Linked DNA regions of Caenorhabditis elegans. The protein of the gene in region 2 interacts with the protein of the main gene of each other region in a pairwise test. Each region holds a gene or a part of one and is shown on either strand. Other genes may lie near its edges.

What was found.
Region 1: the proteins of mog-1 (region 2) and mog-3 interact in a two-hybrid assay, tested with the Caenorhabditis elegans proteins (one study listed by BioGRID).

What each region holds. Positions count from the first base shown.
Region 1 is NC_003281.10:5,306,926-5,311,670, reverse strand, and holds mog-3 (Pre-mRNA-splicing factor CWC25 homolog), read right to left. Parts: upstream 3,070-4,745; coding exon 2,906-3,069; intron 2,846-2,905; coding exon 2,432-2,845; intron 2,387-2,431; coding exon 2,321-2,386; intron 2,272-2,320; coding exon 2,176-2,271; intron 2,131-2,175; coding exon 1,914-2,130; intron 1,210-1,913; coding exon 926-1,209; intron 709-925; coding exon 594-708; 3' UTR 535-593; downstream 1-534. Other genes in the region: Putative RNA exonuclease pqe-1, read right to left, coding at 342-411.
Region 2 is NC_003281.10:9,951,520-9,958,117, forward strand, and holds mog-1 (putative pre-mRNA-splicing factor ATP-dependent RNA helicase mog-1), read right to left. Parts: upstream 4,697-6,598; 5' UTR 4,694-4,696; coding exon 4,578-4,693; intron 4,521-4,577; coding exon 4,407-4,520; intron 4,364-4,406; coding exon 3,055-4,363; intron 2,981-3,054; coding exon 2,153-2,980; intron 1,983-2,152; coding exon 1,441-1,982; intron 1,384-1,440; coding exon 1,212-1,383; intron 984-1,211; coding exon 669-983; 3' UTR 541-668; downstream 1-540. Other genes in the region: K03H1.11 (F-box domain-containing protein), read right to left, coding at 1-60, 174-444; alx-1 (Apoptosis-linked gene 2-interacting protein X 1), read left to right, coding at 5,839-6,053, 6,104-6,598. UniProt on the Caenorhabditis elegans protein: Probable ATP-binding RNA helicase involved in pre-mRNA splicing.

The DNA.
Region 1 (4,745 bases), 4.6 Mb from region 2:
TATTTTTGTTAAATTTTCCGAGAAAAAAATCAAAATTTGATTCGGTCACAGATTAGAAAGATTTTTCGGGATTTCAAAGTGAAAAATGTAACCGATTTCGAAACAAACATTTTCTGAAGAAAATCATACGAATATTAGATTTTTTCCGAATTCCAAAGCGAAAATCATTCTTAAAATTAATTTTAAAAATATTTTCAGCAAAAAATCAAGCAGAAAATTTAGGAAAAGAGTACCAGAACAGATTTTTCAACAATTTCAAACGAATAGAAATATTATAAAAACCGTTGAAAAATAACAAAAACAAAGGCATATTTCAGAAAAAGGTGGAAAGTTGAACTCACTCATCGGATCGATTGGTGCATAGTTTTGAAGATTAAAGCTGTTTCCAGATCCATAGCCGCCATTAAACATGGCTGAGATACTTGCTGGAATGATTATTAAGAGAATAAAAATAAAATAAAGCAATAAAAAGATAATAATCTCGGTTTGCGACCGGAATTCCATAATAAAAAAAGAGAAAGTGAGGGAAAGAACAAGAAAATCAATATTTTATAATCAACAAAACATGGGAGTTTAAAAATAACAATTTTTGCTCATTTCTTCGCAAAACTCCGATCCATATACCCGTGTGCTCGTTGAACACCGCGTTTATTACTTTGTAGACGCTTCTCCACTGTCATATCGTCACAGGCTTCGCGCATTTGAGATCTGTAATTAAAAAATACATTTTACAGGAAATTTCACAGTTTTTGTATTAAAAGCTTGTTCCAAGTGAAAACCAGCGTGATCACTGATAAAAATGCATGGGGAATAGGGAATTTCTAGCTTTTGGGGAATAAATAAAGACGGAAATGATGCAAAACCATGCATTTCAGCCAGAACTTTAATAACTGCATACTTTTCTTCTCTGCCGTTCGATACAAACCTAATAAAAGATGGAGCATATCCATTTTTATCCGCCTCTTCCTTCTCCTCATCATCCTCTTTCCGTCCTTTTGTGACATTTCTCTCGCGAATCTCGTCCCTCCATTTCACGTTGTCCTGCTGCATTTCGGCGAGCCGAGCCGCCTTCTCTGCTTCACTCAATGCTCGTCGCGGCTCTCTTGGCGTATTGCCGGTACCACGTCCTGTGGGAATCTTGACAAGCTTGTACTCCTTGGTGGGCGCCCGTGACTCTTCTTCACGTTCCTCGGCTGTTCGCTTTCGCATCTGGAAATAAACAAATTTAATTGAAAAATATTCGTTTTTCTTTAACTTTTAGCATTTTTTCGCAAAAAATAACTTGGAAATGGTTTGAAACTTAAATAACGTTCTTGTTCAAAACTGAGAAAATATAAGAAATTCAATTTTGGAGTCAAAAAATCAATAGTTTCCTTTCATCTATAGAATTGAAAGCATAGAAAATCCAAGAAATCATGGGGAAAACACGGAGGATTCTCATTTTAAGCTTTTCGATCAAAAACCGAATTTCGTGACATTTCCACTTCAGAAAACGGAGCAAAAAATAAAATCAGTGAATTTGTTGACCAATTTCAATGAGAATACAGATTTTCGAAGTAAATATGTCATTTCCAGATGATTTCTTTTTTCACGTGTAAATAGCTTGAGAATGACGGAAAATGGGCAAAATGAAAGTAAATTGTGTTAGAAATGAGCAAACATAGGTGTTAAAATAAGAAAATCACTTCAAAATCAGAAAATTCCTGTAACTCCTCGTGAAAATGTGACAAAAAAATAAAATTGGGATGAAAACTGTTGAAAAAGGATCAGCATTACTGAAATTATTGTTAATCCTCGAATTGTTCGAGGAAAAAATCTGAAAAAGCATGCAAAATTCACTTTTTGACGGAAAATCTAATATGCTAGTTCACTAAAAATTCCTGTAAGAAAAATGTTTAGAACAGCGAATTCACCTCAACCAAGCCATATGACTTCTTTCTCGGATCCTGTCGCTCGTCATCATCACTATTCCGGCGGCGGTGACTGCTCCGAGTTTCGTGCTCAGATTCTGAGCCTGAGCTCGAATCATGACGACTTCGTTGCTGCTGCAGGTGACGTGGAATGTGAGAATCAAACTGTCTTGAAGAGCTCGCTTTGTCGGCAGATCTGGAGCGGGATCTGGACATTTTTCTGAAAAACAAACGAAGTTTTAGACTAACTACCGGCGATTTCTACCTTGGTTCCTCTCTGGATCGCCTCGGAGACCTGGATTTCCGGCGGAGTCGCTCTGCGGATCTTGATCGAGATCTGGATGGCTTTCTGGCAACTTTTCTGGAAAAAAATCATCTTCTATGAGAAAAAAAACTCGACAAATGCGTACCTGGGATCCTCTCGGGATCGTCTTGGAGATTTCGATCGAGAACTGGAAGGTTTCCGGGACAATTTTCTGAAATATTTGTGATAAATTGATATCAAAATTGTCAATTTTTACCTGGACTCTTCACGGGATCGCTTTGGAGATCTTGGTCTTTCTCTTCTGGGCGATCTAGAACGCTTTCTGGGCTTCTCGCTGGGTCTTCTTCTTCGTTTCGGCGATGGCGAGCGTCTTCTTTTTCTTTCTACCCGTTCATCACTGCTTTCATCACTGGAACTCGACGATCGCTTCTTTTTTTTCTTCTTTTTGTCTTTTTTACTCTTTTTCTCTTTACTTTTCTCTGCTTTTGAGGTCATCATACTTTTCAGCGCGGCTTGAAGTCGCATTTTTGTGAGAGGATTATCCATGATTTCCCGACGTTTTGTTTCTTCTCGAACCTTGACGGCGACAAATGGATCTTCGGATTTGATAATATCTTTCTGAAGTGAAGAAGTTTTTAAACCCGTTGATTGTCCGGAATTGAAGACAGCCCTGAAAACTAAAAATTGATTTTTTGTTGCTAATAATCAATTTCCTAATGTTTTAACTCACCTTGTCCCAACAATCGAATCGATTGCTTCTGCTTTCTGCGCATTCACCACATCGGAATACTTTTCAAAGTTCTTGTCAACTTTCTTTCCGAGTAAATAGTCTTCTCGGTGTACATTTCCTTTAGCGCCTTCATACATCCACCCGATTGATACATCTTTGCTCATCTGAACAAAAATCGATTAATGAACGATTTTAAACGAAAAATGTAAAAATCGCGAAGAAAAACCATCAAAAACCACGAGTTTACACTTCAAAACGCGTTGCGCAACCGGTTGCTAAGGAAAAATCAATATAGGTCAAAACTCGGCCATGGCCTCCCGGCCACCGGTGGTTCTAGGCCATTGTTGGTGAAATGCGCGGTATTTCAAATGGAGAAGGGGAGATTTAATACAATTCACAGTTTTTTTTGCTTTTCAATGATTGGAAAGAAAAATTAATTTTAAAAGAGTGTTTTTCGAATTTGGTGTTAAGGAGCAGCAAATTCCATCGCTCTCATACTAATATATAAACCAAAAAACATTGAAAATAGCCAAATTAACTCAGTTTTTATTTGGTTTTTTCCAATTTTATAAAATTTTACAAATATGGAACAAATTTTCTAGATGTTTGGCACTAAAATTGGCTGAAATGTGTTGCTGGGAACTGAAAGTTAGTTTACCAAGTAAGTTGGTTAAACTAAATCAATAAGTAAGAACTTCTATAACTTCTCGGTTATTGAAGATGAATTACAGTCTAACCTTTTCAGAATAAAACTAGAGAAAATTGGCAACTAACATAATTAACGACATATTATGAAAAAGTTAGTTTCCGTTTATTTCCTAATCTCCGTATTTCCGTGCGTTATATATAACAGCTGACCTTTTCCAGGTCACCAAAGACAACTGTTTCATTGCGTAGTTCATTGTTGTAACTTTATCGTAAACGAAGATACGAAAAAAAAGTTTACAGCGAACAAATTCATTTCCTATGAATTTTTCTAACCGTAACGAAAAAGGAAAAGCTGTTCAATTGTGGTTTCGATCTGTGTAACTTTTTTCGAAATTAAAAATAGAAATGTGCAAACTAACAAATTCAAGGCAAATCTGAGGCACAATACCCAAACTAACGGAGCCAACAATTGCCGGGGAGATTTTGAAAGGGAGGGAGAGGAATATGTGATGTTAAAAGACACCAGAAAAGACCTAATTTCGATCGTCCGACTTGTTAAAAAAAGAGGAATGCCCAGGAACAGGTGTGAGATTCGCTACACTTTGTCAGTTGACAATTTTTCCTAGCATCGCTTTGAAAATGTTAAGGCATCAGACACATGAATTACTCTAGTGTATGCATTTTGCAAACTACCGTAATTTCGGACACATCACGGTGAGCTGGAATAAAATAAATAGATACCCGGTATGAGGAAAGAAGGATGAACTAAATCTGTCCAAGACGCTGTGATTTTATACAAAACTTTGTGAGAGGCGGAGCAAAACCGAATGTCGTCGAAATATCAACAAAAAAAAGTGGGCGGATCAATGAGCTGTCACATGTTTTGATTTTCTGTCTTCGTCTTTTTGTTCTTAGGATGTTTCGTATTTTTGTGTTAAAGATCTGGCGGAAGGAAACATGATTTTTTGTCTTCATTGCATTAACATATGAGTGGAGAAAAATGAAAAGGCTATTTATATTATTATGAAAAAGCAAAGGAACATAAATAGAAAACGTATCCCTATTCTACAGAAAAATTTGATAATTTACTTTGAATTTTTCGTTTCCCACTAACTTAAACCTACATAACAAGATAAGCTTCATCAAATCCCCATTACCCCCAATATGTCCAATCAGAAGATATTTAAATCCA
Region 2 (6,598 bases):
GCTGTTCATCAGAAATCTCGTCGCCGACTAATTCATTTTCCAATTGAAGGGAATGAATTTCTGAAAATCAAATTGGCAATTATACTCGAGAATTGAATGATTTTTTTTTAATGTTTCAATTTGTATCCAAACAGTTAGATAAAAGTAAAATAGACGAATAAGAAAATAAATACCGTTAACTATTTGTGGCATTAGAAAATGTAAAAGTTCTTGAATTTCTTCTCGATTTACTTTTGGAATATGAAGCTCAAATTCGTCTCCATCACATTTTCCATTCAATTTCTCACTTGTGATTCCAATCTTTATAGCACGGATTTTTGGAATCATATCTACGATAACTCTCATCACATCGATATTACTTAAAGCTGAATTAACAAGATCCGTAGGTTTTAACCCTTTATGGATTTCTCGGATGATTTCCAATGGCATATCACCGAGAATCATTCTGAAAATTTTGTTCTGAGTTTTTTTTGTTGTTGAAAAACATACAGTAAAAAAGGAAATGTACCGAAAGTGGGAAAAATTGAAAAAGGTAAAAATAAATATAAGGTTTATGGAATAAACTTCTGAAAATAAAATTGCAACAGAGTATATAGAAAATCGAACTGGAGTATTAACAGTGACACCCGATTACACGAGAAAATAAGACAGAGAAAGAGAGTAATTGATCAAAGACCCCACAGCTTTCTTCTCTCCGATCTGGCCGATTTCGATCCGACTTCAACAACACGCCTGGAAGATTCTGGTCGTTTGAACGCCTTGTCACTTTCTTCCTTCCGCCGTTCCATTTCTTTCTGCGCCTCTCGCATCTCTGCTTCCATCGTTTCAACCGTTCGGACACTCTCCATTTTCAGTTCTTTGCGTGATTGTTTCGATTCTTTGATCGAATAGAACATGGGTCCAAGTTCAGCAAGCCAGATTGCATCGACAGCAGTTACACATTGCATATATTCTTTGGCTGTCATAATCAATTCGTGGTACACCTTAATTTAGAATATTAATTTAAAGTTTAAAGGAATGTGTTTTTGGCGAATAATTTATTTTCCGCTTCTTTTTTTCGAAAAAGAGGATATACTGAAACATTCATAAATTTTTAAGTGTTACTTTTTTTCCAAAAATCATATTCAAAATTTAAAATAGAGTGCAATTTGGCCGAAATATTTGAAATACCGATTCAGCATTTTTTTTTCTTCAGATTCAGCCCTGCTTACCACGTAATCAGGCATGAAACCCATTCCAAAAAGAGCTGAAGTTGGATGAAGGAAGCATGGAATTCCGGTACGAACATTGACATATTCACCAATTCCTTTAAGACGAGCTGCATTGTGGAAATACGCAGAGCAAATGCATTTTCTCACAATATCCCATTCACTTCCGTTTGAGCTGAAATAATTTTATAAAATTGTAGTTCTAAGAAACTTTCAAATAAAAAAAACCTACATCAATGGAAGCTTGAGATCTTGCATAATTTCCTTCAATTGAGCACGAACTTCTCGAACCTTTTTCAAAGCTTTTACGTGTAAATAGTTGTCGGCACACCATTTTGCAGAATATTTGTGTGTTCTCCATTGAATATAGACGTTTAAGAAAGTGAGATGATCCGATTCGGGAACTTGGAACTTTTCTTTCTTGGCATCAGCTTCTTCTTCTCGTCCTTTTGGTCTGAAGAAAATTGCGGGCACTGACAACATCGAAACAATCGTCAGAACTTCATCACTGCATCCCATTTCAGCCGACATAATGAGCATTTTCGACAGAGTTGGATCTAGTGGGAATTCAACCATTTTTCGTCCCATTGGCGTGAGCTGTCCAGTGTTATCGAGAGCTCCAAGAGTCCAAAGTTGATACATTGAATTCAGCATATTGTCCTGTGGAGGTGCATCCATGAAGTGAAATTTCAAAAGATCATCCACTCCGAGAGACTTTAAAAGAAGCACTACATTGGCGAGATTGGTTCTTTGAATTTCAGGTACAGTACTCTTCTGAAAAATAAATTTGTTTTTATTTGAAACAGGGCTGAGCATATATATATATTTTTTAATATATATTTTTAAAAAATAAAATTAAAAATTTGTCGTTTTCGATATTTTTCCCATGAAATTTTTAGCATTCGTCGCTCACTCCAGATTTGTGAGATTCACCTCAAACTTACCAAAAGCTCATCTTTAAATTGTCTTTCAGTATACAAACGATAACACTGTCCTGGTCCAGTACGTCCGGCACGACCAGTTCGTTGATTCGCTGATGCTTGTGACACTGGGAAGATCGATAGAGCATCCATACCGATTCTTGGATTGTACACCTTCATCTTACAGAAACCCGGATCAATTACAAATAGAATTCCGTCGACAGTGAGCGATGTCTCTGCAATATTTGTAGCCACAATTGCTTTCCGCATTCCACCGGGTGCTCTTTGGAAAATCTTGGCTTGTAAGTCACTTGGAAGCTGGGAATAGATTGGTAGAACAGCAAGTGGAGGAGCTTCATCAAGTTCACCAAGCTTCTCTTTGATCATTTCACAAGTGCACTCAATATCTTCTTGTCCTGGCATGAAAATCAAAATATCTCCGTCCATACCACCCAGATGAATTGTAACAGCTTGTTTAACAGCAGCATCCACATAATCTTCAACAGGAGTTCTCGCATGAAACAGTTCGACTGGGAATGTTCTTCCAGGAATTGTAAAAGTGGGACAGTTTCCTCCGAAAAAGTCTGCAAACTTATCAGCATCCATAGTAGCAGAAGTAACGATTAGCTTCAGATCAGCTCGTTTTGCAATCACTTCTCTGAGCAAACCAAAGAGTACATCTGTATTGAGTGAACGTTCGTGAGCTTCGTCCATAATAATTGCTGAATATTGATCAAGACTTCCATCACCAAGACATTCACGAAGCAGAATACCATCTGTCATGTACTTGATTATTGTTTTTTCTGATGTACAATCTTCGAATCGAATCGCGTAACCAACGTCTTGTCCTAGCTGTAAAAATTAAAATAAAATTGTTTTCTTAAAACAGTGGTGAAATACATAATTATCTCAAAAATGAAACTAACATCCACTCCCATTTCATCAGCTACACGTCTAGCAACACTCATTGCAGCGACACGTCTCGGCTGAGTACATCCGATGAGTCCCGAATCACCAAATCCATCTTCAAGTAGGTATTGTGCCAACTGAGTTGTTTTTCCTGATCCTGTTTCTCCGACGATGATAACCACATTATTCTCACGAATCACATTCATCATCTTCTGCCGACACGCAAATACAGGCAAATACTCTCTTTGCTGCTTGATAGACTTTTCCATCGCAAAATCCGAAACTGCTTCATTATCTTTCATGTGAGATGCAAATTGATGAGATTCTTTGTAATTTCCAGAATCATCGTCTTCTGGATCAGCAGTTTCATCTTTTTTCTCTTTAACACCCATCAAATTTCCGAGTTTTGATCCTGCCAACTCCCAATGCTTATCTTGAGCCTTCTTCCTATCTTCAACTTCTCTCCGTTTTCGTACTGCAACACTTCCTCTTGCTGCTGAAACAGCCATATCACATGTTGTATCAACAACCGGAATGATTGGTTGTGCTTGTTTAGTGAAAACAATTCGACCATCAAGGAATGGAGGAACAATGTTTTGAACGAGAATTGTGACACGATTCTCATCAGTTTCATCTTCAAAAATACTTGATAATTCATCAGCCATCGCGACGACTCCTGATCTATGCAGTCGATTGTTCTCCCATAACTCATTCTCTCTTTTGATCGCCTGCTGCTTCACTGTAAGTCTCGGCTTCTGAGTTTTCTCCTGCCATTGCTTTTCTCGTTTTTCCACAAATTCGTCAGAAACCTTATTGAATGGATTATACTCATCATCAAATGCTCCTTCATTATCATACCATTCTCTGTCCAAATTCTTCTGTTCCTCTTCCCATTGAGCTCTCTCTTCGTCATCATGAAATGTGGGCTCTGCTTTTTCTTCTTTAACACTTCGTACCGAATCTTCTGGTTTTCGATGTCTCCGTCTCTTCTCATCATCTCTATTCCTTCTTTCACTTCTCCATGCACTTGAAATGCTTCGTTCCGAATCCATATATCGTTTTCTGTCTCTTTCACCCCGCGGAGTCGGCATATCCCAACTATTTCGTTTTCTGGAAGATCCTTCACGATCATCTTGATCCCAGCTCATTCTGGATGGTGTATCGGGAACTTTAAAGCGAGGAGTCTGATCTCCACTTCGATCTTTCCAACCTCTTCTACTACTCGGCTCTCTTCGTTCTGATCTGTCACGGTCTCGTCTGCGATCATCATCCCGACTTTTGTATTTCATTCCACGGTCGTCACGATCTCGATGCTTCTCATGAACTCTGAAATCATCAATTTACTTCGCTAATTTAATGTTTGAATCACTTTTCAATTCCTTTTCGAACCGATTCCGTGACACCTCGATCGTCATCATCCTCAAGACGTTTTCTGGCGTGTTCCCGCTTTGTAGACGCCAATCTATCGAGCCCAAGCAAGCTTCTGCAATTTAAATTGTTTTTATTTGAAGAAAATTAAAGTATATATTTAGTTACTCACTTCCCGGATGGTTCGGTTGGTTTTGAATCTCCCTCTACTTTTTTCTTTTTAATAACCAATCCACCAAATGTGTCACTGGTTCCTTCGAGGCGGCCATCTGCCCGTTTATCCGACATTTACTAAAAAATAAAGAATTTAAGAAAAACTAATTTAATTTCGAAAAGGAAATCGAAAATAAATAAAAAATAAATAAAAAATGAGAGAGCGAGAGAGAACGCATTATGAAAAGAGACTCAGACTTTTGTGTCTCGATAGAGCGCTCTTTCATAAAAACATTTTTCGCGAATTTTTTGTTTTTTCTTCAATTTTCTCAACACTCTTTCTCTCTTGTTGCATCTTTTTCTTTTCTTTTCTCTCATTAAAGGTTTCCCGGAGGTCTCTTCAAACAAAAAATAGCCTATAAATCAGTAGAAAATCACAATCTACTTCAATGCCACCAGTTTTCACTATTGAATCCGAATTTTTGATGTTCTTCAAATTTCCCTCTGTATCATCAACCACCGATACCCACTTAAACGGTTCAATTTCTATAGATTTGTTTGTTAACTCAAGCGCTTGAGAACCCCGGAAGCAACAGATCGGAGAGCTGAAGTGTTGAAAGTTGTTTCGAGAGAGTGGATTGCTTAGGCCCTAGCTTAAAATAAACTCAATATATTTAGAATTCAAATTGTTATTTCATATCAAATCATACGTTTACTAATTTTGAAATCTATTGATTTTCTTTTTTTCTCACCTCAATTCTATTTGCAACCCGAATTGCGAAATCGAGAGGGGCGGTCACCATGCCGGCAGCATCGATGACTCATCACTCGTATCACGAACGTTATTTGCATTCTAATGTCTGAAATGACGTTTTTCCCTTCTTGTTGAATGATTAGGAGTGTGAATCGATGTGATGAACTTACTTTCTATTACATTTTTCTTGTCCTTCATTAACGAGAAGCTTCGTATTTTCCTATTGCTCACCTCAAATTAAGGATGGAGTGAATTGGCTGGGGATTTTGCGTTAAATTATAGAAAATTGACCCTGCTAACTGAATATAACTGTAAAAATTAAACTTTTACTAAAACTAAACTTTATTTTTGAATTCTCGTAACATCTTCGTGTTTTTTTTGCTAAATTCATTGGTTTTCTTGATTAATGTTTCACATTTTAATTGAAACACAGTTTGTCAAAATTTCAGAAAAATTCTTTAAAGAGAATCTTTCTATTTTATTTTTTTTATTTCTCACTTCAAATTAGTATTAATTTTCTTTCAGAATGGCTACATTCGGCTTTCTCAGCGCACCGCTGAAATCGACTAATGAAGTGGATCTTGTGAAGCCACTTACAAGCTATATCGACAATGTCTACAATACATCCGATAATAACCGCTCAGATGTCGCCGAAGCTGTTCAGGAACTTAATAAACTCCGTTCAAAAGCTTGCTGTCAGCCTCTCGACAAGCATCAAAGTGCTCTCGATGTTTTGACTAGGTAATAAATTTAAAAAAAAAGAATATCTTTGAAATAATTGTTTTTTACAGATATTATGATCAACTCGTTGCCATTGAAAACAAAATTATAATCTCTGCAACTCAAAATCCAGTTGTTTTCAAATGGAAGGATGCATTCGACAAAGGAAGCCTCTTCTCAAGCAGAGCATCCTTATCCCTGTCTGACGGATCCTTTGAACGTGCTGCCGTTCTGTTCAATATCGGATCGTTGATGTCTCAAATCGGAGCTGCTCAACAATTCCATACCGATGATGAAATTAAAGTATCTGCAAAACTATTCCAACAATCTGCTGGAGTATTCGCCCGTCTTCGTGATGTTGTTCTCGGAATGGTTCAACAGGAACCAACTCCTGATCTCATGCCAGATACACTTGCTGCTCTTTCTGCATTAATGACTGCTCAGGCACAAGAGGCGATCTATATTAAAGGCCACAAGGATAAGATGAAGGCTACATCAATGGTCAAAATATCTGCTCAAGTTGCCGAATTTTACTCGGAAGCACAAAAAATGATGTCTAAGGATAT